4 linked regions of the Drosophila melanogaster genome follow. The protein of the gene in region 2 interacts with the protein of the main gene of each other region in a pairwise test. Each region holds a gene or a part of one and is shown on either strand. Other genes may lie near its edges. The genes, in order: CG13458, e(r), SkpB and Cpsf5.

Region 1 (8,823 bases), on a different chromosome or scaffold from region 2:
TCCCGATTATCGCGTTCCATTTGCCGCAGGCGATCGTTAAGCTCTTCGTTTCGCAGGCGCAGAGCCTGTAGCTCATCGGCATGAAGTTGAACAGTGCTCAGTTGCTTCTCCCTCAGCGTATCCCGCTCGCAACGAACCCTTTCTAGCTCGGTCCTGGCGCAATCCCGTTCCCGCTCCACCCTTGCAATGGCCGCCTGGACGCAGTCACTCGTATTGCTAGTAACGGTGGAGGTAATGGATGAAGCTGTGGGGGGCGGCAGTGTCTCATACTGCACACTTTTTTGTGGGGAAAATTGCTGCTTTCCTCCATGAAACAGTTCAGATCGCAGGGCCTTTAACTCCTCGTCCTTAGATTTAATTTGGGCATGCAAGAAGGCGATCTCCGACTCGGATCCGGTCTTGCTCATCAGACGCAGATACTCCTTCTGGAAGAAGTCCCGCTCTGATGACAGGCGTATTTTCTCTTCATCCAGGGTGACGTTGGAATGTTTATTCTGATCTTTGAGCTCCTTCTGCAGTTCTAATATCTTTGCTTGCATTTTCTGAATTTTCTTCTTATGCTTTTCATTTGTGGCCTGTAGTTCCTCTTCACGACGAGTCAAAAGATTTAAGCGTTCATTAAGATTATGCTTGTCACTTTGATTGGAAGCAAAGCCACCGGTCAGTCGGTGATCCTTTCCCTTCTTCTTAAGCTCCAACTGCAGTTGCCTAAGTTCCGATTCCTTGGCATCGATTTCCGCATTGGCCTGCTGTTCCACTTGCAACGCAGCTTCCTTGAGCTCCTCCAGCTGCGTTTGGAGCTTTATTTTATCCTCTTCGGAGCTTAGAGCCCGCTGCATAGCATCGTGCATCTTGTCCTGGAATTCTCGAACTTGCATCATTAAATCGCTCTTCTCGCGTTGCAACAGATCGATGTCCTGGGAGAGGGCGCCCACGTCCTTGTAACAGCAATCCTTGGCCAAAGCCGCTAAAGGACGCCCTCCTGCTAGCATGTCGTTTAAGCGGCGAATCTCCCGATTTCTGGCCTCCACTTTGCGCTTGAAGAACTCCAGTTGTTCTCCGGCTGCCGTAAGATCATTCTGCATCTTGTCTAACTCCTCCTGTCCACTGGTTTGCGTCACTGTCACACCGTCTTTGGTCGTTGTGGTGGTCTTCTGGAATACCCCAGCATTGCATTTTGTGCATTTAAGAGCACTGCTGCTAGTGCCCAGTGTAGTTGGCATCGCAATGCCCGAACGCACTGTGGTTATAAAGGGTTTTTTGGCTGGAAAGCAGAACATTTTAATAAAACCAACGTGAATCAGATAGAGATAGTATCTCAGGGAGATCCAATTCTAGTTAAATATCTTTCTTAGACCTACTCTGACGTCCAATGCCAGCTGTCGCCTTTTTGTTCGTGACTGATGAAACCATTTGCTTGGTAAGCAAAGCGTCCAGTTGCCTTTGAAGTCCATCGTTGTGACTCTGCAAATGCTGCTTGTCCAACTCCAGATTTCGGATCTTTCGCTCGGACTCTGAAAAAGTTTAAGGCAGCAATAGAGTTAAAAATCAAATTAAAATCGATTACAACATACCACACAGGCGCAGCTCGTAGTCCTCCCTGTCCCTCAAAAACTGGAGATGCAGTTCATTGCACTCGGCCAGCAGGCGAGAGTTGTCACACTTGTAGGGTTCGACGCCCAGCTCCCAACAGGTCTTTTCCTGCCGAAAGGAAAGCCACAACAGAAGGATTGCTTAGCAACCAATTGAAAAACCACAACATATAAGAAAGAACGTGGGCTTAAAAAGCTAACGTGTAAATATCCTTGCAAGTATTTCACGCTTAATTTTAGGGATTCAATTGAATTGTATAGTCTGCCCTTAAAAATGAAGCATATTTGGCGTATATAGAATAAGAATACTGAAAAGAAGTTTCTCATGGGATCCTCACAATTATAATCATATTTAGATTGACAAATTCTTTTTTATCTTAACAGCACCAACCTGAATCTCTTCAGTAAGAAATTGTGATAATATTATAGTTACACATATATAATCGAGAAAACCCAAAGGTCTTGTACTCTCTACTGGTATACCCACCTCCAGCAGCTCGGCCACCTTTTTCTTGGTATCCCTCAAACATTCTGTGGTCTTGATTAGGTCCCCGAAAACAGCCTGCAATGTAAAAGGTACAGGATTATGCCAAAAAATTAATATTACAGGGTATGAATATTACCTGAACCAGTGGAATGGCCAAAACGGGCAGCGTCTGTGTGAAACCCATGATGTCCAGTTTGCAGCGGAGGTCTTTAAAGTCACCATCGTTGATATTCATGGGAAAACACTAATAACAGCAAAAAAATCACAAGTTTTCTCCTAAATGCCCTAAATTTCAGAAAATGCGCAATGAAAACAATGCTATTCAATCAAATCAAAACAAAACCGGACTTCAACCGATATTTCCTTAAATATATCGGTTATCGAAAGTGACCATCACACCTCAGCAAGGAAATCAATCGAAAATTTGTTTTAGTATTTTATTATCGAACGCAAATGTATCGAAATCAGTATGAAAAATAACATCGATTGCCCAGAAAAAACGTTACATTCAAAATAAAATATAAAAGCTGAACAAAATTTTATATTTTTTATGAAAATTCATAGATTTTACCAGGTATGTACTGCAACCGAAAAGAAGTTACCGAATATTTCAATATAATAATTTTATTATTGTTCATGTGTCTATGGCTATGTCTAAAAAACCAAATTATAATACAAATTTTTTAAACTTTTAGAATTGTACCAGGCTTTACTAAATAATTGACCTTGTCCAAATCAGAATTGTTCGATATTTGTCTTTTTATTAAAAAAAAACTAAGGTGTGGACTGCGATTAATCAACAACAAAACAGTAAAAGTTCTTAAACATAAAAGACGCTTCATTATCTGATATAAAATTACGTTCTGGCTTTTCCGAGGAAAACGGATTTACAGTTGGCGGCATTACGACATTTAAGTGTCGATTCGATTGGTTAATAAATTGAATCATATCCAAAGGGGCCTCGTATTTTGTATAGGAAGTAACTACGATGGGGCAGTTGAGATTGAGTGCAGCTTGAATGGTATCTGGCCAAGTATCCTCCAGAGCGAAACCAGTTGATCGGTACAGACCGCAGTTAAAGAAGCAAACTATGAATTTATGTATAATAATTATTATTAGTTTCGCTTAAATGAGTGTTAACTTACTCAAATTCGGCTGAAGAAAGTGCGATTCTCTGCAGTAATCGTGATATAAACTATTCTCAAAATGATAGTTAACCGTTCTCTGGGCTTTTCTGCAGAAACGGCAGCATCTAAATAGATTGATAATCTTTAGACTAATGTTTAAACTACTAACTAAAAGTGTAACTCACTTGATTTTCTTTAGCTGTTCAAAGGATATATTATTAGGATTAAGTTCAGGTCCAACAAAGACCACATTCAGAGTTTTCACCGCTGGCGTTATGTGGAGCAGGAAGAGTTCCCATTTCTGCAGCATATCCGCCTCAAATTCGATCTCGGCTCCAATTAAGTGAAGAGTCATCTCCTCGCAGTTTCTGAGGCGCTCGCAAAGTTTCAAGGCAAACCAGGCAGTTAATGGGCCAGTGGACACCTGGGTAAGTGCTGCGTACTCACACTCATTGGTAACATCTTTAAATCAGTATAATAATACATTATAATAAAATCCTTGAATACTTCGTGTTTACTTACTAAAGCTTAGCTTCTTCATCATCTGCTTGGTGTTGGAGCAAGCCATGGGCAGCTCTCTAAGAATCTTACTGGGCAGTGATGGCTCCATGCGGCCGAACTGTTCCTGAAACATGATGAAGGCCTTGAAAATCTGATAGGCTCCACACCACTTGGCGTGCTCCTTGCCTCGGTGCTCCGGCTTATCCTTGCAGAAAGCCACCTCGCCACATCCACCGCACATGGATAGACGTTTAAAGCGATGCTCCCGGCACTTTGAGTCGGCGCAGATCAGTGGAAATAGGAGCAACTCTCTCTCCGTTGCGCTGAGCTGACGATTCATCTCCTTCTCCACCTGGCGAATGCACACGATCCGGAAGGAACGGAACTGTTCGTCACTGAAGTCGCCGCACTTGTAGAACATCTCGTGACCTGCATCCGCCCCATCCAAAATTGGCAATTAGTGTGATTTATGAATTTGTGAATCGCCGAAAGACACTCACCATTGCGGTCCACCGTCTGGCGCAGGGCGTAGCACAGCTGGCGGTGCTCCTGGTCGTCTTTCATGTGCCCACTGCTGCAGTAGTAGCTCAGTCCACAGCGGGAGCAGGGTATCCGATTCTGGCCGCACAGATCCGACTTGCAGAACTGCAAGTATTATAAAAGGCTTAGTAAAATAAAATTGTAAAAAAATCTTATTAATGCGCCCTTTACATTTGTATATAGAAATAGGAGAGTACGCTATAGCCAACTTCCTCGACTATCAGATACCCATTACTCATCTAGCGGGAATGCCACCATTAATGAGCATATCGATAGAAACTGGCAAGAAACCATTTTACCTGTTACATACTTTTCAACGAATCTATTATGCCCTTTTCCTTTAGGAGTGTAGGGTATACAAATGTAGAAGTTTTAAACTATAGTCCCTTCAGCAATTAAGCACAGTTTGTAATGAATACTACCTACATTGCACAGTGAGGCCATAAAATATTGCCTTGGCTTATAGATGTACTCCACATACTCCTCCACTTCCTCATCGGATGACTCGACATCGCTGGGCGGCGCTTGGCTGAAAAGCTTTCCAAGATTGCTGAATAACGCGGCTGCTGGGGATTCACCAGATCCTATCAAGCATATTTTAGTTATGTTGAATTGTATATACTTCCTAATGATTATCTAATTACCCTTTGGCAGTTTGCTGCCCAAGCATTTGAGTAGATCATTTATTTCCTCTTCTTTTGAAATTCCAGATGCCTTGGCTTCTGTTTTGAGTTTTGGAGTAACCGAGGTACTCGAAATCTTTGGTTTCTTTTCTTCACTTTTGATTTCCTTTGGTTGGGTAACTATTTTGACCGGATCAGTTGATGGCTTATTTTCGCTGGATGGCACAGCACTATTTTTGGCCAATAATTTCCTACGTAACAGTTGCTGTATCAGCCGGATTGTATCGTTCTCTTGCGGATTTTCCACTTGACCAATTTTTGATAATGATTCAAGCAGAGAATTTCCACTTGTAAGTAAGGGCTTTTCCACCGGAGGTTTACTTTCTACACCATTTGCCGCTTTTGAGCCATTACTTTTGAGTGAAGACGCAATTGCGTCTGGAGATTCCCCTTGATCCTGTGGCACCTGGTTGATCTTGTTGCGCTGGCGATTCCGAATCCTTGGCTTCTTTTTGTGGACCCCCGACTGAATCATGTTAGCTGCGTTTCTCTTATTTCGAGTGCAAAATTAGCCAGAGCACGTTGCTCAATTGAACGAACAATGAAGAATGCGCATTGTTCTTGGTTGGGAGTCTTGCGGTCCGCCTCGATTCAATTGGCCGCTAGCCATCGCTTCTCATCGCGGCCGCAAGCCCAAATGTATGCCCTGGCTATTTTTGTTGGGCACGGGCCTGACGATGTCTGACAACGCCAGCCGGTATCTGAATCCGCATCCCGCATACGAATCTCAATTCGCATGGGCTAGCGTCCATTATTATTCTCGAGTACCAGCGTTTGATTAATTCTCTGCCTATCTCAACTAATTGCGTCAACAAGCAGAAAATTACACTGAAGTCCACTCTGTGGTGCTCTTTAAAAATATAGTTCTTGGCAGAAAAGGGATTATACATAATCCCTTAATATATTTGTAAGAATTTAGAAAAAACAGTCAGTTTTTTAATAAGGTATCAGTTGCCAAAAAGTATTGATGGAACTGTCGTTAAAAATAGAAGCAACAATTGTTTTCAAAGTATTCCAATAGTTTATGTGTGAACAAAATCATAACAATTGGTATGGATATCTTGAAAAGCGATTTTTCCATAAATTCGGAAACAAATAAGCTTATTTAGCATGTTTCAATTCCAATTTCGAAATTTCGCGCCCAATTTGAAAAGAGAGAAATAGCACACATTTACTTTCCACGCACTATTTCCAATACCGTTCTTGCTGCCCGCTAAGTTCAAAATAAAACACAAACATTTGAAATTGTTCCATTAGTTATTTTTTTTTTCGCATCCAAAAAATATATATGAATTAAGATTTTCATATAAATTAAAAATGTACGGAAAGTAACATCGTAGTTTACTTAAGCTTAGGAGAAATTATAAAGGGTTTCTTATTATTAATGCCTCTTTCATAAAAGGTCAAAATTTTCAATTCGCAAATACCGTATTATACCCACCCAGTAATACTTAAGTTATCCCAAACTTTTGGGGTTTTGCGATAACAAAAGTACGTCTGATAATCGGATGTTAAACACTTTAGGATATAAGATACCGTTCACTAGTTTACTTATGGCCATTGGTAGGATCAACGCCTCCGCAGGCACCTTCGCTGTCGGAAGTGCTTATGCTACCATTGCAACTTTTTGATATTCCATTTGTGGGTGTAATGGGAATTTTCAAGGAGCTCAGCGATTTTGTTGCTCCGGCCAAGCCCACAACACTGTCCTCCTCATCCGAGGATGCGTCGGATAGCTGGCGGGGCGACAGGCGGCAACCGCGCTGAATATATTGGTTCAATCGATCCACTGAGGCCAGGATCAGGCCGAGGAAAGGAGGCGACGGCTTCAGAGGCCGCGACAAGTACTCTGGATGATATTGGGTGGCAACAAAGTAGGGATGACCGCTGAGCTCAATGATTTCCATCCTAGTTTTGTCGACGTCGGTGCCCACAAATCGCATGCCTTGCTCTTCCAGCAGATGCACGTATTTGGGATTAACCTCGTAACGATGCCGATGACGCTCCTGCACGCTTTTCGGATTGCCATACAACTGGCGAATGACACTAGGACCATCAGAGAAAACAGTTATTCGCTTGCCCAAGCGCATAGTGCCGCCCAATTGACCCGTGTGATGCTCTGGCATATCGATGACCAAGGCATTAGCTGTGTTCGGATCGATTTCTGTGGTGTTTGCATCCTTGAGACCAAGTTTATTTCGTGCGAATTCAATGACCGCCGCTTGCAGACCCAAGCAGATGCCAAGCAATGGCTTTTGATTCTCTCGCGCCCATTGGCATGCACGAATCTTGCCCTCCATTCCACGGGAACCGAATCCACCGGGGACTAGGATGCCATGGCTATCGCATAGCTTCTGCCACTCCTTGTGGTACTTGCTCGGCTCAGAATGCAAAGTTTCCTCCTCCAGCAGGCACGACTCGATAAAGACCAGTTCCAGTTTGCGATTCACTGCCAGGGCGGCATGTTGCAGGGCTTTAACTACGGAGGCGTACGAATCCGTGAACTTGGTGTACTTTCCCACGACGGCGATGCAAACTTCACGGCGAACGGTCTCCGTTCGACGCGCCAAATCTCGCCATTGCTGCAAGCATCTAAAAATAACAAACAATTTGTGATTAACTTACTTTCAGGGTTTAAATATAGACCTTAACTTACTTGGTCCTCTTGCTCATGTCGATATTAAGCTGTAGGCGCTCATTTAGGTATTCAATAACACCATTCTGCTCCATCAGCAGCGGAACATGATAAATGGAGTTCAAATCGTGGATGCATATCACCTGATCCGGCCCCACATGACAAAAGTTGCTGATCTTCTCCTTGACCTCCAGTCCAATGGGTTTCTCCGATCGGCAGACAATCAAATCGGGACTCAGGCCACATCCTCTCAGTTCTCTGACCGAACTTTGTGTGGGCTTGGTCTTGGGTTCTCCGGTAGCCTTTGGCAACGGAACCAGCGACACATGGGCCAAACAGAAGTTCTCTCTCTTTACGCGGAACTGAAACTGACGGAAGGCCTCTACGAAAGGCATGCCTTCGATGTCACCAATCGTTCCTCCCAATTCCACGATGCACACCTGTGGCTTTGAAGATCCCTGAACGGGTGTCTGGGCCACGCGCTCCACCCATTCCTGAATGGCATCAGTGATGTGTGGGACAACTGCAAGGGACAGAATGTTAAATCAACCAATCTTCCCAATCTCAAAGGTTTTCTAGTTATAAAGGATAATAATGGGATATGATCTGGTTTGCTCACTCACCTTGAACCGTTTTGCCCAAGTACTCGCCAGTGCGCTCCTTCTCAATGACCAACTTGTAAATTTTTCCGGTGGTTATGTTGTTGTCCCGATGCAGGGTAACATCCAAAAACCGTTCATAGTTTCCCAGATCCAGATCCACCTCGGCGCCATCGTCCAAAACGTAAACCTCGCCTGCGAAAAAAATTATAACAATTAATTCGTGGTTTCAGCATAATGTGGACCACCCTTCTTAGTAAAAATGAAAAGAACTGAAAATCATTTTAATGTTACATTTTTATTTCCAGGGTATTTGTGCTTAGGCGTAAATGGCGCACTCCCAGCTTTCCTTGGAGTGGCGCTCAACTAGAAATCAATCAAATAGCATGGCATGGACACGAACTAAGTATAATGCTTACGATCTAGGCTAGTGGGCGTATGTACAGTCTTGAGCTTAATCTAGGCATTCTGAGCTGTTCCACTACTTGGACTCCTCAAGATCTTCTTTGTAGAGTTCCTTGAAGATGAGCTTTTGTATCTTGGTGCGTATGCGCAGCTTCTGGGCTGCGGTCAGCTGCTTCATGTACGGATGTAGGCTGAGCAAGTAGTGGTAGTCATCGTCCTCTGGTACGAGCGGAGTGTCCATTGTCGAGGAACCA
Region 2 (8,132 bases):
GACACACGCACCTTCTGCCGCCATGAGTACAATCTCACGGGTCTGTGCACACGCAGAACGTGTCCGCTGGCCAATTCACAATATGCCACCGTTCGCGAGGAGAAGGGCATCATCTATTTGTTCATCAAGACGGCGGAGAGAGCGCATATGCCGAGCAAATTGTGGGAGAGGATCAAGTTGTCCAGAAACTTCGAGAAGGCCATCGAACAGATCAACGAGAATTTGGTTTTCTGGCCCAAATACATGATCGCCAAGAATAAGCAGCGTTTCCTCAAGATCACCCAATATCTGATACGAATGCGTCGTCTGAAGTTGCGCCGCCAGAAGCTCATTGTGCCGCTATCGACGAAGATCGAACGGCGGGAGGCGCGGCGCGAGGAGAAGGCCTTGGTGGCCGCCAAGATCGACAATCACATCGAGAAGGCGCTGATGGATCGTCTGAAGAATGGCACCTATCGCGACATCTACAACTTTTCGCAGACCGCTTTCAACAAGGCTCTGGAGGCGGAACGCGTGGACGAGGATGATGAGGAGGAGCTAGACGACGAAGACGAGAATGAGGAGCAGCTGGAGCGCGAAATGGAGGTGGACGGCGACGATTCACGCGAAGCTGAGGAAGTACAGAGATCCCTGCTCGACGAGGAGTTCGTCGAGGCAGATACGGACGATGAGGAGGAGGATGATGATGATGATGATGATGATGACGAGGACGACTACGACAGCGATTCCGGCAAGCGGGAAGAGGTCGAGGTGGGCAGCGATTTCGAGGAGTCCGACGAGGATGACGATGCGGATGCAGATGATATTGAGGTAGTGTTTCTGGTCATGTATCAGGCTTTTCTTTTTTATTTTGTTGGCAGTTTTCTGGAGCATTTAACGATTTCCAAATCCTTTTTCAATGAATTTCTTTTAATATTGAAAATTCTGAGTATGTAAATAGTTGGCAATTGCTTAAATCCTGCCACCTTCTTCCGAAATTACCATAATTAGAAATAGCAAACGAGTTCTGCCCGCTTGGAGCTTGGAGAATAAAGCTTTCCGAGCGCCGTTCGCCGCTTTTCATTCAGTTGCGTCGGTTTCCATTCAGTGCGCGCTAACTAACAGCTCCAGAAAATTGCCAAAAAAAAGAAAACTAAAACGAAACAAAACTAAATTCCAATTGCCAAACCGAACTTAAAACGAACAATTGCATTCTAACAGGAGACCAAAGTGCCAGCCAAGAAAACCGCCAGCAAAGCGAAGAAGGACAAGAAATCGCCGGCGGGCAACAGTCGACGCAGCCGCTCGAAGCCCAAACTGCAGCTGGAGTACGAGTATGAGGTGGAGAAGGAGGCACAGCGGCAGATGCGCCATTAGCCAGGTCCACAATATATATTTCTCCCCCCCCCCCATGCTCAATCCACTTAGCTGTTAACGCTTATTGTTTAGCCGGTTAAGAATAGTATTTTACATAAAAAAGAAAGAAAAAAAAACAAAACTAGACAAGTGCAACACTATATGACCGAAAAATGCATCTCATGCAGGATGCACTTCATCTGCATCCCATTCGCTTTGCTTTCTGGCCAAAAAGCGAGGCTGGCTAACTGACATTGAAAGTGGGCGGTGCGGGGCGGTGTGGCGACAATGCAGTGTTTAAAACCAGTTTTGAAAAATATTCTAAAAAAAAAAACTATGCACCATATTCGACGCAGCTGTAGCGCTATTGCATACCCTGTAAAAAGCGCGGAGTTGCGTGGCAAGCAAACTACTTTAAATAGGAGAAATTCTTTTTTTTTTTTTTTTGAAAATATATATACATATTTTTGTAATAAACTGTACAGTTTGCTGTAGCAAATGCTTTTTTCACAAACAAATATATTTGTCTGAATAATGAGAAATCTAGTGATCATTAATATTCAGCAAATATAATGGGTAAACTATAAACACTATGTTTATTGCTAGTTAACGCTAGTAAGCAGCATCCACAAGTCGACACTAAATGTGCATATATACATATATATATATATATATATATATATTTAACAAAATGCTGTCGCGGAGCTAATTAAATATCGCACGCCAAGTTCAATGCAGTGCGGCCAAGCGATTCAGCGGCGGTCCAAGTTCGTTATCCGATTGAATATCTGGCGGGGGTACAACCCACAAACCCCTACCCCTCCCCCCTCACCACACACACAACAACCAGCATCTCAAGGTCATTTCGCATCTGCGACCAAAGGTTCTGTTTTGCTTAAAACAAGCCGTTAAAACGCCACAAAGCCCATCGGTGTGCAAAATCAGCGGGCTAAAAGTTGTTGTTTAACTAAGTTCAAATGATAAAGGGGGGGGGGGGGAATCAGTAGTTTACAAATATGTTTATATATGCTCAGTGTGTCCTGATGTGTTAGTTTATTATTCGATAGATTGCAAAGACTTAAGCTAGCACACACGGCAAAACATACAAAAAAAAAATGCACACTTGCAAATTTGCCATTCGGTTTTACAAACAAACAAACATACAGTTCGCTATCGATAAGAACAACCGTCACCTGTGGCTGCCGCACAAAAAAACATTGAAACACACAAAAACACACACAGTTGTCAGTTGGGTGTATATACAGTATATATATATATATACGCCTATATATATATTTATATATATATATATATATTAGTACGTTTAAAGTAAGTTTTCCATTTCTAAGTTATACAGTTTATCGTTCTCTTTGTGTTCCTTTTCCTTTTTTGCATTGCGTTATGTTGCAAAAAAAAGTTGCTGTCATTTGGCGATCTAGTCGGTAGCAGCAAGTCTCCAATGGAATCGATGCCCCACCACTCCATCATCATCTTCTTCTTCTTCCTCATCTTGTTGGTGTTATTGGTGTTATGGTGTTGTGGCCGTTGCGGATGCTGTTCCAAGCGCTGTTGCATGTATCCTCGTATTGTTGTTGTTGTTGTAGTTGCTATTGCACGCATTGTTGCATACATCAACGTGTTGTTGTCGTTAGTGTTGCACGCATTGATGCATGCATCATCGTGTTATTTGGTTTTATATGTATGTATCTTGTCGCATCGCCGTCCCTTTAGGTATTGGAACTAAATGCCGCCTGACGGAGCAGCACATAGATCTTCTCCTTGATCCAATCCTTATTGTAGGGCGCATAGGTATTGGTGCTCTTCTGGTAAACCATGCAGCTAATGTCCACCATTGTGTCGATGAAATCGAATAGCTGGCTAATGTCATACGTAATGGTCGGAGTGTTTGGATTGCGGCGCTTCAGGTGCTCCTCGTAGATCTTGCACACGCCCTCCATGCACTCGTTGACGCTCTCGTAGTCACAGTAAGTGCGGGTCTCCGGACGAGCACCCGGCTGTACCAATAGGATGGTGTGCGACATGGTGATCTGCAAGGCAAAAATGGAACATTAATGTTATTGGCGGTGATCTATGTACTCAAGCGATATGTATGTATGTATGTTACTAGTGTGCGTTTCATTACATTACGTTTCATCTTCATCACTTACATCCTTTTTTTTAACAAGCGTTTTTTCTATAGCAAAGTCCGAAAGATTCCGAGACTCTCGAAGTTGAAGTTTACTTCGCCAGCTCTGCAAAAATTGTGCATAAATATTTATTAGAAGCATAGAGAGCTGTCAGCAAAAAAAAAAAAGACAAAAAAAAAAGGAAAAGAACAAAAACGAAAGAGATGGAAGAGATATGCTGTTGCCGCATGCAACGCATCGCCCCATCTCGCTCGCGCTCTCGCCGCAACACCAATACACGCGCACCACACATGCTGGCCAGCAGAACGCTCTTTGATTTTCCAATTTGCAACTGGGAAATAGACTAAGATGGCACTTCCAGCATGGAAAACGAGTAATTTGTGTGTGAAGCGAATGTTGGCAATGGAGAAATGCGTACATTTGTACAAGATAATGCACGCTTATGCCGCTTCACTAAAACACAAACATTCGGAAGCGCGAACAGACACGCACACACATGTACAAGGAGTAACGGCCGCCGCGTGTGTGTAACTAACTGTATGCAATCACTTGTTTTTCTTCCTTTTCACCGATTTTTCTCGAATTTTAAATAATTCCCATGTCTCCCGTTTAGTGTTCAACTTACCCGTTCGAACGCCGGACTATATGGACTATGATAATATGCTGATTCAGTAAAGAGATTCGGTAAAATCAGCGCTTGATTCGTTTTTTTTTATTTTGCCAGTTCTATGGGTTTTGAAGAGGAGGCTGAAGCTAGAGATGAGCGCTTCGCTGCGTGCCTCGCCGTGACAAAATAATCGAAAGATATCGATTAATACTAACATCTTTTATTTGATATACATTGTTTAATAATATTTACCAAATTAAATGACAATTGTGATTTTTTATACTTAATTGTATCAATGTATACTTGCATTTCAATTTGTATATGTATTTGATTCCATATTATGTTCATTCACTTTTTTATTGAAAAGCACACTTTATGTATATTACGCCTTTAGGTATAAAGCATGTTTTTCAATGCATATTTTCATTTCATTTGGCGTAATTCATTCCATATTTAGTCTTCAGATTTTTTAAATAAAATTAACTAAAGCTTTTAACATATACTCATCATAGTAATACATTACAATAACTACGGAAATTATTTATTTATTATTTTTATTTTATATATTTATAAAAAAATTATAATTATAATGTCAAATTAAAGTGGATTGCATTATTTATTTAGGTTCATTTTATTTTGTTATTACATATAAATATTAGGTATTACGTTTATTTAAGTTAGAATAAAATTAACGCCCATCAACAAATTATGGTCATTAAAGTCTTTATGAAGTAAACTTAATGTACAATCATTTTCACTTAAAGTGCATATTAAAAAGCATATTTTTACATTTTTTAGTATTGTATTTAATATAAAGTCAAAAGTTACTTTTAATGAAACAAAACTATCGCCCATCGCCAGCTCCGCAGTCTGGCCACTGTTCTCACTGTTCCCAGTGCTGCCAGACAGCGGCAATCGAAGATCCGAGTGCCCACCAGCTGTTTGATCTCAATTGGACCAATTGGAAGAGCGCGGTGTCGCGGGCAGCGCAGTCGAGCGGCGGCAGAGCGATCGGCAAAGAAATCAACAACAAAAAGCAAAATCTCGTCTCAACATTATTTACGTGCTTTTTGTTTTAGTGAAAAGTGAAGGCGCAGCCGCAGCAGCCCGTGTTTCGCGCGTTCCCATTAATTTGTTGTTATTTTCAATTGTGCAAGTGGCGTTCGTGTCTCTCTTTTTTTTTTTTTGTTTTTTCCTGTGTGTTTGTGTGCGTCCTAATTGAAAGAAAATGAAGTGAAAAGAAGCAAACAAATTGGGAAATAGCAACGTAAACAAATCAAATAATGAATGAAGTAGAAGAGCAGCGAAGTTAAATGAAACCCAGGCAGTAAATTGAAAAGCAAAAAAGCCCTGCGAAAATAAGATGATAAAGGCTGTGAAACGGGGAAACCCGTTAAAGTAGCACCGAAAAGGCAATAGTCAAATAAGAAAACACAAAATCCAACCAACGCGACGCACGCGTGTCCAATTTGTCGCCTCTGCTTCGTCTCTCTGCTTCCTCTTCACTGTTCTGCGCACACCGTTGCACGATCATTCATGTGTGGGTGTTGTATCTGTGTTTCTTGTGCATTCTATTTGATTTGTGTTGTTGCTCATCTCTTATCGCTGAAATCTCGAAATCTCAATGTTCTCGGCGACCAATGGCAAAATCAAGGTAAAAAAAAAAACGTCCACTTAATAGTTTTCTTAACTTACCAAATGGTGTCTTGGCTACAGAGAAACTTATGCTTTGAGTTGAAACTGAAATATGTACAATATTACTGTTTCCGTTAGTTTTATTTTAAAATTGATAAGCCATTCTATATTTCTCCTGACTGCGCATTGTTTAAATATTATACTAATTATCGTATCGTATCAATATCTTATCTGATGTTTGCACGAGATTTGTTGCGGTGTATTTGATTTAATATAAAACTATATCAGTAAATGTTTGATATACGTTAAAATACAACAAATATTGTACATTTTTTACAGTTACCTCCGGAAGATGCTGTGCTGGTGACGTCACCGTTGCGCTGCCTCTTCAACGGCCCCTTTCGCGATCTCCACTTCAACGTCACCGATCACCGCATTATTCCCGTCCACGATGTCGTTTTCCTCGACGATTTCGAACGCAACGTGAAGCCTTTGATTTACCGCCCCGTGACGTCAGAGGTCGCTGCCTCTGCCAACGTCGATGAGGAGGCAACGCCGGCAGAGGAGGAGCAGCGCAGCTTCATTCCAATCAGCAGGTGAGTCACATCCAACAAGTGCGACAGAGATGGCAATCAATCGATCGTGGCCTTGAACTTGATTCCATTTCGTTAGTCCCCAATTCCAATTGGAAGTGAGAGAGAGAGTGGAAGCAGAAAAGGCAGGAGAGCAAACCAATTAGAATTTCCAAATGGAGATATCAAGTTTTTGTAAATGGAGAAATCGACTTTATTTCAATTTTGTGCATTCAAACTGTGATTTTTATTTTAATTTTAATCATTTAGTTACAATTAATCACAATTAGGTTACAATTATCGCATCTAAGCATCTGTAATAATTTGTCTTGTTTAACGCTCGTTTTTGAAAAGTGTTTGCTTTACGGCGCCGATAAGTAAAGAACATTCTCAACTGATAAGAACGTGGGCGCCCCTGATGTGTTTGAAACATCATCGTTTTTATCGTCAAAAGTGTGCAAAAGCTGTGTATCTATTATAAACGACTTTGTAGGCGTATTGTTATTTGTTTTAAGGTGCGTCGCTAATTTCCCACTACCCGGATGAGAAATATAAATTTTTTAACAACCAGATAGTTTCATATTTATAATGACAGTTAAACAGCACTCATGTTTTAAACAATCATTCTTAAATCTGTATATCTGTACAATTCCATTGGTTTAATTGCTTTTAATATGGAATGTCATACCTCGTTGAGCTCGTAATTAAATTTCCAATTAAACTGTGTTCAAAAATTGGAATTTTAATTTTTTCAATTTTTTTCCAAATTTTGATGATGTTACCCCTTACAAAAAATGCGAAAATTTCTTAAAAAATTAATTTTTTCAAATACGTCAAAAAGTGATAGGGCTGTTTGGCATTGGTAATTAGCTGCCCAAAACAGTTATTCTTTCAGCTTTATGATCATTTTTAGCCAAGTTATGATTAAAATGCCAATCAAAAATATTTCAATTTTTGACAAAACCCGTTTTTACTATTTTTTGTCATAAAATATCTATTTTTTTGGCCACAACTTGAAAAATATTTGTCTGATTATGGAATGCCATACATCGCTGAGTTTGTATTTAAATTTTTAATCGAACTGTATTCAAAAGTTGGAAATGTAAATTTTTTCAATTTTTTTCATTTTTTATGATGTTACCCCTTACAAAAAATGCGAAATTTTGGTCAAAAATTAATTTTACAAAGTCCGTAAAAAACGGATATGGATAGTTAGTATTGTCAATTAGGAGTAAAAAACGGTAGTTCTTTTGGCTCTCTGCCAATTTTAAGCCAAGTTATACAGAAAAAACCAATCGTAAATATGAATTTTGGCCAAAAATTGTTTTCCCTATTTTTTGTGTAAAAAATAATCAGTATTTTGAGCACTCGAAATAATGAAATGAAACTTAAACTTGTTTTTTAAATGCCAAACGATTTGGTTTTAAATTTGGTAATTTTGTTTAAATTTTGTGCTCTTTTTGCAAGTTTTGTTACACAAAAAAATCCAAAAAAATTTGTATTCTTACAAACCAGCCAGGTTGAACAGAACAAGGAGTATCTGTTAGTCTACAGAGTTCTAGTTCTGTTGTTTTTTTTTTGCTGCTACGTTTTACGACTGTTTTTTTTTCTTGCTCGTTTTTTGGTTTCTCCACATTTGGCGTAATTGTTTCGCATTTCTACTGGGCTATGATTATTGTTTTATTTTGTCGTGCTACCGCATTTGGCTGTTATCGTGGATTTGTATTTATGCGTTATTTATTCTGCATTACGAATTTGCCGCCTCGAAAAAAAACTCGTCGACTTGGTCGTTGCCTTTTGGCCCAACATAAAAAAAAAACTTTATAACGAAACGGG
Region 3 (6,633 bases), on a different chromosome or scaffold from region 2:
TTGCGCCATTTATTCACATTTGTAAGCTGGGTGGGCGACTTGACTGCTATTTAATTTTAATTTTGCCGGCGAATAGTAGACGCAGTACGTTGAACCGAATGAGCTCTAAGAAAAATAAAATTGCTCGTTCGCCTGTCGTGATTGTATTCTTTTTCATTTTTGAAGCATCAGTTTCAGGTATCGTTTTGCACGGCAGCCATTCCCTGGGGAATCCCTGGGATTTAACAAATTTTCAGCCAGTTCAATGCACAGCGTTGAAGTTTAAAGGTCGCCATTACAATTATGGCCAGGTTAGCTTTAAGACACTGTAGTTTGAAAAAAAAAATGGGTTTGGCCACTTTGATAACTCGAGAATGGAACCATCAGTGCGGCATAGCAGTTTGTCTTAGTACTCCAATTTAAATGCACGTTATCCAGAGAACAAACCACAATTTGAAAAAACACCTATACTTCATACATTATTGTTTAAGCTGTATTTTATTAGTGACATTAATTGCAATAATTAGCTGTGCGGTTGCTAATGCTGCTAATTTAAAAACTTTTCATAAATTTAATCAAACGCTCTTGGTTCTGGTTGTGATAAGTGAAACAGCATTTATTGATAAAGTGCGGTTTATTTTAGAACTTATTTAAAAATTGAAAGGTACAAGCTATTTTTAGAATATTTTGGACTTCCTGCCGATGCCAAGCATTAAACACTTATAGGTTGTAAACAAAAAGTTTTGCATATTTAATAAAACCAATTATGTATTTTTTATGTTTTCGTAGCTATAATTAATTTTTTTGTGATGTACTACACAATCGCCGAACATTAAAAACCGTAGACTATCACATACCTCTTACTTATAAAGGCTTTAGACTTCATCTTTGTCGCGGACCTGTTTGGGGCTATCGACAGTTAGTCAAGACCCAATTTAGAGCCGCTAGAAGTTAGAGATATTTGAGTCAGGACTTTACTCCGTTTCGATTTACTCCGTTTTAATCTCAATCTTAATCTCAACTCTCTAGGATCTATTGTTTCTGAGATCCCGACATTTATACGGACGGACAGACAGGCGTACTCGGCTATTGATCCTGATCAAGAATATATATACTTTTTATGGTCGGAAACGCTTCCTTCTGCCTGATACATAATTTTCAACGAATCTAGTATACCTTTTACTCTACGAGTAACGTTTATAAAAATTCTATCCATTTCTCATACCTCGATGTTTTGAAAAAATGCAGTGCTGCCACTACGATCGAAATGCGGTCACACTAGACAGCTGATTTTTTCCAACTGGAAGATTTGCTTTGCACACTGGACAAAGGAAATGTCCCATTTGTCGGCTTATCCAGCATATACGTCAGTCTAAACATGGAGAAAAGCTGCAGTATTGGCAACGGACGGGAGCAATACGGCTGGGGACATGGCGAACAATGCGGCACGCAGTTCCTTGAATGTGTCTACAGGAACGCGTCCATGTACTCTGTTCTGGGCGATCTGATCACATACGTGGTGTTCCTGGGGGCTACGTGCTACGCAATACTTTTCGGCTTCCGACTGTTGCTGTCCTGCGTGCGAATCGTCCTCAAAGTGGTTATCGCCCTCTTCGTCATCCGATTGCTGCTAGCTTTGGGCTCCGTCGACATCACATCTGTTAGCTATTCCGGGTGAAGTGACCAATCTGGCGAATGCCATCGGGACCACGGCCTTTAAACTACATTAACTAAATCAAATATAAATTCCAAATTGAAGAACACTGTAAATTACATTAAACGGTTTGTCATTAATTCCTTTGTTAAAGAGCACTTGCCAACATTAAAGCATAATATTTTATTTAATTAACCCAACAGAACAATTGCTGACTCTTAACATGATCAGCTAACTATCTCAATTGAAATGTTGATTAAACAAAAAATTTAAGCTTTAATTTCGTCATGGTAAGTTGATGGTATTCATTTATCCTCACACCACTCGTTCTCCTTGCGCACCTGTTCCTCCTCCTGTGGCAGAAAGTCATTCTGGATGGCGAAGGTGTCGCGAATAGCCTGCGGCGACTTGCCCTTGATCATATTGGCCACCGTCTTGCAGGTGACGTCGAGCAGACCCTGGATATTCAGGTAGTTTGCCGCGAGGATCAGTTCGAACAGCGTGCCCTGGTCGACTTTGAGAAAGTCAGCGTCCCAGGATGAGATGTCATCAGTGCGCTTCTCCTTGTTCTCAACCTCTTCGGTAACCACAGGATCGTCCTTGTGATAGGTGGCCCAGTGGAGCACTTTCTTCAGGATCAGCGAGTTGACATTCGGCAACGGCAGCACACTGTTGTCGCTCTCATCGCCCAAATCCTCTATTGCAATGCGAATCGTTTCCGAGCACTTGGCGATCTCCTGATCCGTGTCAAAGATCTCCTTGTCCGCAGACTCCAGCCGAATGATGGGCATCTCTGCGTAAAAATTTTTATTTTTGCTTATATCTATATTTTCAATTTTATTCGTACACACCTCCTGCTGATTTGGATCCCAAGATTTGATACGAAATCGGTTTGATTTATTTGCAGACGCAGCCAAACAAAATTTTTAGACACAACACGATGTCACTTAGCTGTGGCCTACTGGCTAAAAATAATATTCCCTTGCCTTCAACTTGAACCGGACTGGTGCGGCGGCCGCCTGAGAACAGAGCGTTTGTTAAATAAAGAACTTGGCTGCCAATAATTCCCCGGATTCTTAGAAAACTAGAACGTCGTACGATTTGAAGAGGAAATTTGTTAGTGAAACGGCCGCCAGTGTGCACATACTCGGAATGGCTTTAAAAGATGGCGCCTATTACAGTTAATGGTGTGGAGACACTGTGACAGCTAGCGGTAAACAAAAGCTCAGTTATATTTTTTTATAATGTATATATATATATTTTTTTTAAACATATATATTTTGGCACAATTCAAGCGTGCTGGGCGTTGTATTATTTAAACAGAAACCTACAAAATTCTGCCTTTATAGTTAGTTTTTATCCTGTTTTTATTTAATGAATTTCAAATTTCAAATATTTTTGTAAACAATTTTAAGCTAGGCCAAGGGTTTGTGTCGCGGCTAGTGCAAGCAGTCAACTTGCGGCATTTTTTAGTACATTTCCCTCTGTGCTGGGTTATATATTCGCAGGCTATACTCCACACTGCTTCCAGCGGAATCGTCAAAAAAATAACATTAAAATCGCCGTGTGCATAATTAGAATATTTCCGAATAGTAATCGCCCGTGAAATCGCTAATTAGCGGTCAGCACTTGCGCCAGTTAAAGAAATCGCGGCACCGGCAGTGGGCCAAAAGAACATTTTTTCCGGCTGAAAAAAACAGGCGGCGGCGTCGACACGCGGACCGAACCAAAGGATCCGAAGCCATCCGATCAGATCTAATCCGATCCGGAGAAAATTCCAGGACACTAAGGACTTCCGAAACTACCCCGCACAAGAGATGGACGTGTACGACGTGAGCGATGATCTGATAAAGAAGCTGCAGGACTGGAAACTAATCGGCATCATATCCGGCAAGTTCAACGAGCTGAAGGAGAACCATCGCAAGGTTGACTTCGTGATGCGCGCTCTTATTGACTTCAAGTACATTGAAAAGATATTCCTGAATGTAACGCTTCGAGAGGACAAGTGCAACAAGCGGAGCGTGGAGTTCCGTATGCTGGGCAACGAGCAGTTTTCGCTCAAGAACAGGAATTACTTCCAGGTAATCATTGCCCCCTCAATCGGCAAACTTAAGCTAATCCCTGCGACTCGTTTCAGGCTCTAGAGCTGTACAACAAAAGCATCTGTTATGCCGAACCGAATTCGGAGCACCTGTCCATCGGCTATGCTAATCGGTCGGCGGTACTATTCGAGTGGAAGCGCTATCGGCAATGCCTGGACAATATCAAGCTGGCAAGGCAGGCCAACTATCCGGCGAGACTGAGCCACAAACTAGACAAGCGAGAAAGGGACTGCCAACAGCTACTCGATCAGCAACCGCCGGATGTGGTGCCCTATGAGTTCAAGCTCAGTTTCGAACCGCATGCCCAGGTGCCCTTCATCGCCGACTGTTTGGAGTTGCGCGAAACCGCCGCCGAGGGTCGCTTTGTGGTGACCAATCGGGATTTGGCCGTTGGGGATCTTGTGTCCGTGGAGGAGCCCTTCTGCTCCACACTGCTGACGCCGATGCGATACATTCGGTGTGCCACCTGCAAGCGGGAGAACTATCTGACCCTCATACCCTGCGACAGCTGCTGTTCCACGATGTTCTGCTCCGAGGAGTGCAAGTCGATTGCCATGCAAACCTATCACCGCTACGAGTGCCCCATCATTGACTTTCTGAACCGCATGTTCAACAAGATCCACTGTATCGCACTGCGCACCACACTGGTCGCGCTGAATATCTTTCCCAGCATCGAGGAGCTAATTGACTTCTGTGAGCAGGAGCAGAACCAGGACAAGTGCGCCTTTGACCTCAACTACAACGAGCTGACGCCGGAGGAGCACTACCGGGCCATCCATGGACTGGTGACAAACCAGCACCTGCGCTCCGTCTCCGATCTCTTCCAGCGCTCCGTGGTCTGTGCTGTGCTCAAGCACTTCATAATCGAATACACACCCGTCAAGGAATATTTGGGCGGCGAAGAAGGCGTGAACTTCTTCACGGACCTCCTGTTCCGACATCTGCAGACATCTCCCTCGAATATGCACGGCATCGACCTGGTCGAGCAGGTTAACGAGACCAAGGACGACCAGACGCACTCGTCTGGGGCGTACGCCTTCCTCTCGCTCATAAATCACTCTTGTGCGCCGAATACTGTAAGGATATACGAGGGCACCAAGGCGTACATGTTCGTCCTGCGGCCTATTAAGGCGGGAAATGTGCTCTACGACAATTACGGGTAAGTAGTAACCAAAGCATTCTGACCACACCACTTTAGTTCAAGCTAATAGGGGTCCAAGTCACTGCAGCTCTCTTCAAATACTAAAACTAATAGATATCCAACTTTTTAGTGCTCACTTCGCCATCTGCAGCAAGGAGCAGCGTTTGAAAAGGCTGTCCCTGCAGTACCGCTTCGACTGCAAATGCGAGGGCTGCGAGCTGAACTATCCTATGTTCGGAATGATGCCGCACAAGGCGACGGTGCCATCGGTTACCGATGACACGGAATTGGCACTGAGCTCCTACAACTATGATTTCGCGGTGAGCAACTATCGAAAGTACTGCGACTTCCTCACGCAATACGGTGACGACTATCCGTGCGAGCAGATTAGCTCCGCGGAGGAGTGCCTAAAGATGGCCCTGCATATCATGGCGGACGCAGTGCCGCTCAAGGCGAAGATGTAATCGGATCCTGCCGCTGAACCAACCCACACAACCAACACGGACGAACTTTTCCTTTGCTAACTTTAACTGGAGACAGCGTATTACAAGCGAGACACAAATCAAGGAGAGTAATTGATTATACATACATGTTGTTGCCATAAGTCTGTAGCGCAGGCAGCAGCGCGATGGGGAGGGAGCATGCCCTTAACTTTTATATTTGTAATTGTACATTTTCGACCTTTGATTATGTTTTACCCCGCACCAAGCCCGCACACCACACCCACACAACGCCCAGCACACCCACACAACGCCCAGCACACCCACACAACGCCCAGCACACCCACCACACATTTCACAACAATTCGAAAGTTCAAAATTCTAAAGTTTATTTATTTTTTGATCACAACAATGTCTTCGATGAAAACAAACAAACAAAGGATTATTATGCAACCTACGTCGTTTTTATAATTATTTTACAAAAACCAACTGAAGCAGAAATAAAATATTTTCAAAACGAAGTGACTTTGGCCTCAAGGCATTTTGCTGTACAGGTCCAGCAGGTTCTGGTTCAGCAAGGATCCTCCCCGGGACATGGACGTCGCCACCTTTTCCGAGGACGATGCCGATGTCGTGGGCTGCAGCTGTACAAACTCGCAGCCAGAGGAGCTGGCCGCTGTGTCATTGAAAAGCACATTGCCGAAGGCCTGCTCGAACTGCTGCTGGAACTGGCGGGCGTTGATGGGCTGCAGATCCTCACTTTGCGCCGGATTTATGTTCAGCTGAGCGGCCAGCTGATCCATGCTGTTGGGCTCCCGTTGTTGGCGCTCCCGCTGGTCGGCACTCTTCGCATAGATATTATCGCCGGCTGACTCAACGTATTCCGCGTAGTAATCTTGATCCACGTCCCTGATGAAACTACCGTCCATGGCCTGAAAGCCCATGCGAATCAAAAGCGATATCTTTGTGTTAAAGCACTGCAGCCAGGCCCGATTCGTCTGGTAGATGGACAGCTGCGCATCCTCACCGCTGGCATTCCAAAAGTCCAGCAGCGTGTTTTTCGTGAAGTCAATCAGCATATGCCGTTTGGCATCCGGATACAACCTGTTGATCGCCTCCAAGTGCCGAAATGTAATCTCCAGCAGATGGTGCTGATGGCGGGAAACGAAAAGCTGCCACTTGTAGACCATAGTCATCAGATTCCACAGCTTGGACATCGACTGCTCGTCGAGTCGCATCAAGGAGCAGGTGGCAATGTCGTTCAGCATAAACTTGCAATGCTCGGCGGTCAAAAGCTGCGCACTATTGTGTTTCGAT
Region 4 (8,716 bases), on a different chromosome or scaffold from region 2:
GATGCCATGTCCACCGTGTCCTCCGGCGGCGGCGGCCTCACCGATCAGGGCTACTACGATCTAAAGTTCTATCACAATAAGTTGTGGTGAAGTCGAAGTCACAAACCAGAAGGCACGCAATATTTGCTAACATCTTTTGTACGTGTGGCATAAGCATAATTAAACAAAAATCTAATCTAGTCTGTAAGATTGTATTGTCTAATCAAAATAACACACCAAACGGTTCCTGTACTTCAGTTCGATGATTTCGTTGTGAGCTTCTTCTCCGACTTTTGTTGATTTGTTCATTTGTTACAAGCCACGCACACCGAAGAGCATCCGTAAACTAAACTAGAGCCTCACAATTAAACGTTAACAATAGCAAATTGAAATATACGTAGATTAATTGCCGCCGGTACTGAGCTAGATAATTTTACAACACATACTCGTCTTTGGTTGAAAAGATCCTTTATTAATAATTTCGCTTTGTACTGTGAATTTGCAATAGCCCTTAATGTTATCCAGCCCGTGTGTATCTTCCAATTACAGAAAACGAGAATATTTCGAACAAATCTATGCCGAGTACATGCTATAGGGATAGCGCCAGTTGGCCAGAATGCATCTTCATAACCATACTTAAAATTTCTTAAACATTGTCTAACATTTAGTTGATAGAACAAAACCCCCAAAATGCAAATAGATATTAAAGATGAAGATATACAAATAAAGCACAAAATTTTGTCGACTCTATTTGCCAAGTGAAAGAGACTGGCTTTCCATTTTATCTGCAATACAATTATGTACGTTTACACACACACATGAAATGGAAATCTACGGGCTGATCTGTGGTGCTGAAATCAGTTAGGTAGCGCTATCGTTGGTGCTGCTGCTGCTGCTGTTGATGCTTAACTATTGCTGGACGTGGGCCCCTCCTCCGTCTGCCCTTACATGTAGATAAAGTTGAATCTGCAGTGAGGAAGCGTATGTATATGTAAGTGGGGCGGCAATCTATAAACTTCGATATGCGTTACGAACTTACCTGCAGAGGGCCTGCGGCAGAGATGAGATAATGGGTCCATATCCTTGCGAGTTGTCGTATAGCTCGAATAATGGCGCAGCAACAAGCTTATAATTTTTGGGTACAGCAAATAGTGCTAGATTACGGAAAACGATAGAGACAGAATTCATGTATGTAGAGATATCAACGAACATTGAAATTCACAGGATATATCATCTAGGGATATTACAATCGGTTGTACAATTTACATATTAAGAATCATTTCGCAGCCGTATGATATAAAGAGTCGTATGCGTTTCGTTTTACATTCATAGTTGGTTACGTTAGACTAATTAATTGGATTCGCTGCGACTTGCAAAGCATGACCGGCACTTTGCTGGCCCAGCGATGTCTCCTAATATCAGTTATGAACATAATTTCAATTTAGAGCAACATTATACATGATAAGTGCGGTTCGAATTGTGCGCTGAAATGCTTCAGCTGGTGGACAACATCAGTTCATTTCAGCGCACAGCGAATGCGTAAGGGCCAAAAAAGGTATAAACAGTATTTGCTTGTGTTTACATAAACGAGTGCTTAATTTAAGGAGCGACTTGCGACCTGACTGCCCAGCATGCGTGCAAATCTGCAAAACACGCGAGATTTGGGCACATGACTGCGACAGCCAGCAACGTTACAATGCTCTTCTGCTGCCTGCCCGATGGATTGGATTGCTTTCGATAAATACACAACAACCTTAAGATGAACGACACATGACACTTCACAAAAGTAAGAATAGAAGCTAGGAAATAAATAAAATATGTAAATAGAAGGATAACATTGCTGCGCTCAGTCTCACAAGTATGTCGACATATTTACAAAATTAAGTACAAGAACAATCTTTGAATTTCGAATGATAAAAATCGGGAAATAACAAAATATGCCAACACTCAGTCCTGAGCAAAAATACAATTTGAATTTGATTTTCGACATGTTGTACAATTGGACTAGAATCAAAACTAACTAAGGAGTCGCCTGCGCCAGCTTTTGCGATCTGTTTGTTTCTTTTCTGTTTGATCTGTTCTGTTTGCTCGATTTGTTGTTCTATGGCATTGCACTCTTGAGATTAGAGTTGGGTAGATACGACACACACGGCGCTAATGGAACTGCTCAGGGTACATCGTAACTGGCGTTCCCGTCCGTATCTAAACAGCATTGAAAAGATATGACATGAGGTTTGTTAGCGTATTCGGTTTTTGGCAAACAAAAACAATCTATAGGTTATATAAAGTACATGGAGAGATGGATATTCTGGATACACGGTGTGCTCGTTATACCTACGCGTAGGGACTTACAAAACGCCCTGCGGATATTTACCCTTTTCATGTAGCTGGACGAGGAAAAGCCGCTTGTGCTCCTTGGGCTTGGTGATGTGCGGCGGAATGTATGGATATTGCGGTGGCTCAAAGTTCGGCCGCCACCAGTTCCCAATCGTGTCCTCAACAATCCACTCCTGCTTTACGCCGTCCTGACGACCCAGCGTCTACGAAATAATAAAAGTAGTGATAGTTAAGATCAAATAACAATATTTAACTATGGCGCCACGTTTGACTTACCTCGGATAGCAATCTCTTGAGGCCCTCGACCTCATCCTCGCCGGCGTTTAGCTCGCCACCGGGCAATTTGAAGAACGTGGTGCCCAGCTGCAGGAGCAAGACATGTGGCAGTCCGTGCTCGTGGACCAGAAGCACTCCCTCGACGGAGCGCCGCATTCCGATCCGGTCGAATTCCTCGCGCATCCGCTGGAATCGGGATGGCACCGACGGATCCTTCTCAAAGAGCGGCTCCTTGGTGCCGAATGTGTAGTTCGTAAGGGGGTATCTGAAACAATCGATCGATCTATGATGTGCGTCTATGAATGAAATGTGTTGTACCCACAAGTTGATGGTGCGATTGATGGTTAGCGCCTGGTTGGTGTACTTCTGGGTACCGTTGTTATTGCTGCTGGCTGCATCCGCTTGGCCTTGGCTTCCGCGGCGCGGCCAACCGGAGCCCGATTTGTTTGAGACTTGCGAGGACGCCATTTTGTTATACACACACCCCTGTGGGAAAATTTGCGGGACAAGCTGGCCGACTTTCTACCAAATCCTTTGGTTGTGCGTTGGAAACTTGTATTCCAATAATATTATAATCCTTAACTGTTTATTTACAAGTTATACTATAAATGTAAACCCGTTTTAAGCCGCTTAATTACACTTTTCTGTCCAGCGCTTGTGCAAAAAAATTAACCGGCTGGACGAGGGCTGCACGTGAATTGATTGATGATGAGCAGAACTGGTTCGTTGAACTAGATTATGGAATTAATCGATTTCGTACTTTGTGTGAAATAAACTTGTAATGACCTTTTGCTTAATATTTATTAAAGATTTATTCAATTTTTTGTTTTATTTTTAAATGCAGTTTTAAATTATTGTTTGTTTACATATGTAACGACAGCCCTGGTGTTTCTTGTCTAATGGCAACGCTCTGAAATTGCGCAGCAACCCCATCTGGCCACACTGACCCATTAGTTTTTTGTTTATGTTGGGTTGTCGGAAAAATCGGCTGTTTTCCGTGTGTCCGTCTGCCATGAAAAGCTGCTAAAAAGCTAAATATAAAAATCAGCGCAGCACACACGTTCCGCTGCCTGCATTGTTTGCCCATTCTAATGGGAAATTATGTGAGTGCGAGTCAGGAAAACGCATCGTGTGTGTATATATACATATATACATAAGTATGTAACTGCGCCCGTTTGTTTGTGTGTGTTTTTGTGTGCATGGTGCAATGGAAAAGTGATTATTATAAATGAAAATCAGTGAAATGTGTAAGTGTGGCACCGCAAACGCTTTGAACTTTTCCATTTTCATGTTTTCACCTTGTCTTCTCTTCTCTTCTTCACCCACCTCCCCCGTAGTCAACCAACTCCCACTTGTGCGTGTGTAGGAAGGCAGAAGGGTGTTTTGCATTCGTGTGCGTGCCAGATAAAAAGACTTTGAATTTCTGGAGGATATTAGTGTCAACTGTGTGGGGTATAATACGCCGTAGGCCCTAATATGCAGGCAAGTCCATTAATTACGCCAAAGGTCACAGGTTAGGCACGCAGCCAGGATCCAAGGAGCAATAATAATGTTGTATGAAGGCGACCTGTAAGCGAGAGCGAGAGAGCTGGTGTTTTGGTGTGAGTGCGTGGTAGAACAAAGAGGACGAAAAACACGGCTAACGAATTCGCCGCACGACACACTCGCCGCATGGCGAATTCAAACGTATCCCAGTGAACGAATGAGAAACAAAAGGATATCTTATTGAAACTGATTAAACTAAAGACTGCCGAATAGTTATATAAAATCCAAAACCATGTCTGCGGCCGAACTCGAGGCGGAGGCTTCAGCCCAGGAGCAACAATCCCAGCAACAACAACAAAATCAATCACAAAGCGAGGAGATAAATACAAACACTGCCATCAATGCAAATGCAACCACAACAAATAGCTACAACAATAATTTAGATACGGAAACCCAGCTTCAGATGCACCAGGATCCGCAGCAGCAGCAGGAACTCGAGGGCAATAGCAACAATGGCATCACAGGACTCGGCCTCAGTCTGATGAACTCCTCACCGCCGCCGCACAGCTACCGACATTCGCGGGCCTATCGCCACTTCAAGAATCCGCCACAGCCCCACATGTGCATCCGCACCACCACGGAGGCGGGCGAGGAGCTCTTCATCAATGTCCTCAGCTGGACGCGCATTGTGATACCGCAGGAGCCCAGCGATCCCATTCCCCTTTACGGAGGCATGCGGGTAAGATTCCTTAGATTAAGTGTCCTCAAACATTCACGTCGGTGTTTCCTTTATTAGTTATTTATGTTAATGTTCTTATTCATTAAGGTACCGCCTGGCAGCCCACGCAGTCCTCCCATTGTCTTTGCCGTAATGGCCAATCCGGAGGTGCTCAAAGACTCCGGACGTCACAGCAAAGATCCTGAGGAGCGACGAGCTATGGTGGAGCTGATGTGCGACTTTGTGGAGGCTATGAATCCAGGCGTGAAATTAGTCAGGTATATAATAACACTATTAGTTTACTGCCCGATTAAAAACAAGAATAAAAATATATGTAATACATCTCCAGAAACGCCGTAATACTCAAGGATCGCGATATCTCCGGCGAGCTGAAGGATGTCTGGAATGCCGTTCAGGCGCAGCGCGATCGCGAGAGGGAGGAGCAGATGATGCAGCAGCGCCAGCAGCAGCACTACCAGAACATCACCACGCAACAGATGTTTCCCAAATCGCCGGATGCATCGCGGGCAGCTAGTGCTGGTGCTGCAGTGAACGAGGCCAGCTCGCCGCCGGCTCACTTGTCTGAGCCGCTGCTGGTAGAGCAGGGAAATGGCAATGGCAATGGCATCACCCTGGCCGTGTTTGCCCAGCAGCTGGACAACAAAGTGGCCAGCGAGCAGGGTGAGCAGCAGGAGCAATCGCCAGTTTCGGAGGATGCTTGCGTGGATCAAACGGATGCAGGCAGCTCGCTGAATGGATCAACAACTGTGCTGGACAATCAGCCGGTGGCAGTGGAGAACGAACCAGAAGTAAAGGTTGCACCACCGGCAGCCACAAATGGTGCTAGCACTCCCACACCCAGCCACGCAACACCCACAGTAACAGCCACAGCCACATCATCGCCCAGTCCAACTCCAACTCCCGTTGTTGCTCCCGTCGTTACAGCAACTCCTCCACCTGCTGCTCCCGCAAAGAAGGAGAAACTGGGCGGCTTCCTGCCCAACGGCTGCATCTTCCCGCGCTTCAAGAACAACAAGCACAAGGACAAGGACAATAGTCACAAGGAGGGCAAGAGCAAAGAGAAGACCCTGCTGAATGCGCTGAAAAAGAGCAAAGAGAAGAAGGTGGCGCCCAGTGAACAGCCGACAGAAAAAGCCGCCGCCTCGGACAACGGAACAACGCAGTACGAGAAGAACTGCATCAACAATCTGGAGTGCGAGGTGCAGAAGCTGGACTTGAACAGCGGCACCAATGGCGACAATAGCATGTTCATCAAGCTGAAAGTTTCGCCGGCCAATGCCACAGCAGCGGCAGCGGCGGCCAAGTAGAGATAATCCTGAATTTACACACAAAAAAAAAATAAATAAAATCTCGTAGGTAAGTGGGAAGTTAGGACGATAGAGAGCCAGAGGAGGCGGCACTCTACCAGTGAACAGTGTCACTGTGTCAGCACTTAGGGCTTAGAGTCGTGGATAGAGTCGTGTAGCATATACAAGATTTATATATACAGATATATATACAAGCATTCACACACCCGTTTTTACACCGTTGGTCAATTTTTTGGATAGCCACTCAGAACCAGGACTAGATGAACTAACAGTTGTGCCATGCTCCAGCTCATAGACATTTATAGACGACAGCGCTTCTCCCAGGATCTTCCCCGGCATTTAACTGACAGAATGATAAACGTATTTACATAGTTCAATATATGTATGATTCGCATACAGTTTGCCTTATATACAACAAGCCCGAGAGAGCGACAAGAACCTAGCAAGAACCAGTTGATAAACACGAGAATAAATGTATTTAAAAACATAATCGTCGAATGAAACTCATGCGCCAAATGAACTTACCAGACTAACTACTAGCTCCATTCCCAAATTGTCACATCATCTCATCGTGAACCATACACCCACCAGGCATTTGCCCATCGATTCATCCATCCATCCATCCATCCATCCATCCATCCATCCATATCCATATCCATATCCGTGCAAAAGTATTAAGAAACTTCGCAGATCCAAGAACCCTAACCCTGGATCGATTGATCTCCACGCTTTGAAGTTGAGGGGCAGTGAAAACAGCGGAGGGAGTTTTAAAGCCGGCTCTTTAGTGCCACGACTAACTTATGTACCTTAGTATAGCCGAATGCGAAAACAGTATACAGATCCGCAATGTCGCTATTATGATTTATATTTTAAAGTTTAACTTTTAGTTTCCCCTTTTGGATACCGAAACGGGGAAACTACATTTCATTCTATTTATTTTCCGTTCGTGCTTGTTGTGTTGTAATTGTGTAATACTACTGTTGGAATTTTTAACTTTTACTGTGTTTATTGTTTGTGCTAACCCAATTCCAATCCCAATCCCTCAACTTCAAACGAAACCATTCACGAATCATATATTATAGAGAGTAAAAAACCACTAGAAATCGAATAAATATTCGGGAAACACCAGTGAAAAATGGTAAAACAAATAGTTTCAACTGCAATATCGGACTGAACAAAGCTGCCATATGAAAAGTATATACATGTAATGACTTTGTATATAAAGTTAGCTACAGATTTCCATAAAAGAAAAAAACGAAATTTCAATTGTGATTCCATCGAAAATCTAATTTTGTTTCCACATCGAAGAATTTAATTGAAGAACTCGAAAACACACACACAACGTATACCGAATAAAATATAATTTTGTTTGCTGGAAAAAACCGCATGTAAGCGGAGAATCCTAACAAAAAGAACTTTTCTTTTTGTTTTTAGTTCATTATATTTTTTTATATAGGTGCCATACAGGAAGCGTGTATGTGAATTAATCAAAATTGATTTCATCCAATTGGTATTAAGATTAAGCCCAGAGTTTCCTTAATTGTGAGTTGAAACGAGTACCGAAAACCCTAAAGTATATATACTAGTTTTTAACTGGTTGTAAATGAGAAATGCTCGTGTAAAATTAGTATTAAATTATAGCACGAACCCAACAACAACAACAACAACAAAAAAGCAACAAACATAACACTACAATTACAAATTAAATTAGTTTAAGACCCAAGTCTTCTAAGCGAAGAGCAAAAAGCAATAATTTTACTTGAAAAGAGAGTGACACGACAAGAAAATTATAATGATAAAAATGCGTGTGTGGCTAGTAACAGCAAAAGGGTGGAAATCTGGAAAACTCACGAACTCAGAGAGATGCAATAATGTTTCCTTGGAAATATCTAGAGTTTTCCGGAGCAGCCCGGAAAAATGTCTACAACAAACAAAAAGCACACACTAGCGGATGAAAAGCCAACAAAACAGAAAAACACACATTTTTATATGTATATGTATGTAATAATAAAAGATCGTATTTGACAAAAGTGTATTTAAAGTTTGCTATTTATTTTGCGAAGGATTTCAATAAATATGTGAAAATGTCTTAGCTACTTTCTACAGAACGACCTATACAAGGCGATGCGATGGATCCACCAAATCCATAAGGATCTAGATCAATATCTGAATCTTACTCATCCTTGTTGTTGATGGCACGCAGGCGTTCGAGCTCGGCACGCTCCTCCTTGTTGCGCAACAGGGGGACATTGTAGTCGAAGGCGTAGAAGAAGCCCTTGGGCTCGCCGGTCTCCTCGGGTCCGGGCACATATGGCGGCTCCTCGTGCACGTAGGGCTGGTACTCGGGCTCAGTGGGCTGGTAGCGACCCTCCTGCTGGTACTCGGCGGCATAAGGATCGGGATTGTGGCCAGCGGCGGCGGCCAGCTCACCCCACAGCTTGAAGTGCTCCTCCTCGGCCTTGAGGACAGCCGGAGTCTTAGTGGCCGGCAGTTTAAGGTGTGCCGGACGATTGTCCTCCACATGGAAACCGGTCTTATCAGCATAATAGTTGGCCACAAAGTCACGGCCATGTGGTTGGACATACTTGTACGA

The links.
Region 1: the proteins of e(r) (region 2) and CG13458 interact in a two-hybrid assay, tested with the Drosophila melanogaster proteins (one large-scale study listed by BioGRID).
Region 3: the proteins of e(r) (region 2) and SkpB interact in a two-hybrid assay, tested with the Drosophila melanogaster proteins (one large-scale study listed by BioGRID).
Region 4: the proteins of e(r) (region 2) and Cpsf5 interact in a two-hybrid assay, tested with the Drosophila melanogaster proteins (one large-scale study listed by BioGRID).

The regions. Positions count from the first base shown.
Region 1 is NT_037436.4:15,110,352-15,119,174, reverse strand, and holds CG13458 (uncharacterized protein), read right to left. Parts: upstream 5,619-8,823; 5' UTR 5,406-5,618; coding exon 4,892-5,405; intron 4,832-4,891; coding exon 4,674-4,831; intron 4,353-4,673; coding exon 4,208-4,352; intron 4,137-4,207; coding exon 3,729-4,136; intron 3,669-3,728; coding exon 3,392-3,668; intron 3,332-3,391; coding exon 3,225-3,331; intron 3,168-3,224; coding exon 2,872-3,167; 3' UTR 2,802-2,871; downstream 1-2,801. Other genes in the region: Cep135 (centrosomal protein 135kDa), read right to left, coding at 1-1,264, 1,362-1,514, 1,575-1,701, 2,080-2,154, 2,216-2,314; CG45071 (uncharacterized protein), read right to left, coding at 8,646-8,823; Ctps (CTP synthase), read right to left, coding at 6,478-7,522, 7,587-8,088, 8,189-8,359.
Region 2 is NC_004354.4:8,902,002-8,910,133, forward strand, and holds e(r) (enhancer of rudimentary), read right to left. Parts: upstream 4,248-8,132; 5' UTR 4,108-4,247; intron 3,990-4,107; exon of another isoform or gene 3,768-3,989; intron 3,588-3,767; exon of another isoform or gene 3,504-3,587; intron 3,384-3,503; 5' UTR 3,378-3,383; coding exon 3,063-3,377; 3' UTR 2,143-3,062; downstream 1-2,142. Other genes in the region: Rbm13 (RNA-binding motif protein 13), read left to right, coding at 1-810, 1,201-1,356.
Region 3 is NT_033778.4:12,137,501-12,144,133, forward strand, and holds SkpB (SKP1-related B), read right to left. Parts: upstream 2,730-6,633; 5' UTR 2,485-2,729; intron 2,427-2,484; 5' UTR 2,425-2,426; coding exon 1,939-2,424; 3' UTR 1,795-1,938; downstream 1-1,794. Other genes in the region: CG18343 (uncharacterized protein), read left to right, coding at 1,358-1,657; Smyd4-4 (SET and MYND domain containing, class 4, member 4), read left to right, coding at 3,451-3,714, 3,771-4,894, 5,007-5,340.
Region 4 is NT_037436.4:9,405,620-9,414,335, reverse strand, and holds Cpsf5 (cleavage and polyadenylation specific factor 5), read right to left. Parts: upstream 3,299-8,716; 5' UTR 3,061-3,298; coding exon 2,915-3,060; intron 2,858-2,914; coding exon 2,593-2,857; intron 2,520-2,592; coding exon 2,354-2,519; intron 2,182-2,353; coding exon of another isoform or gene 2,147-2,181; exon of another isoform or gene 1,134-2,146; coding exon 1,019-1,133; intron 946-1,018; coding exon 924-945; 3' UTR 501-923; downstream 1-500. Other genes in the region: Atat (alpha-tubulin acetylase), read left to right, coding at 1-90; CG4022 (uncharacterized protein), read left to right, coding at 4,370-4,816, 4,904-5,073, 5,145-6,123; Cpr67B (cuticular protein 67B), read right to left, coding at 8,297-8,716.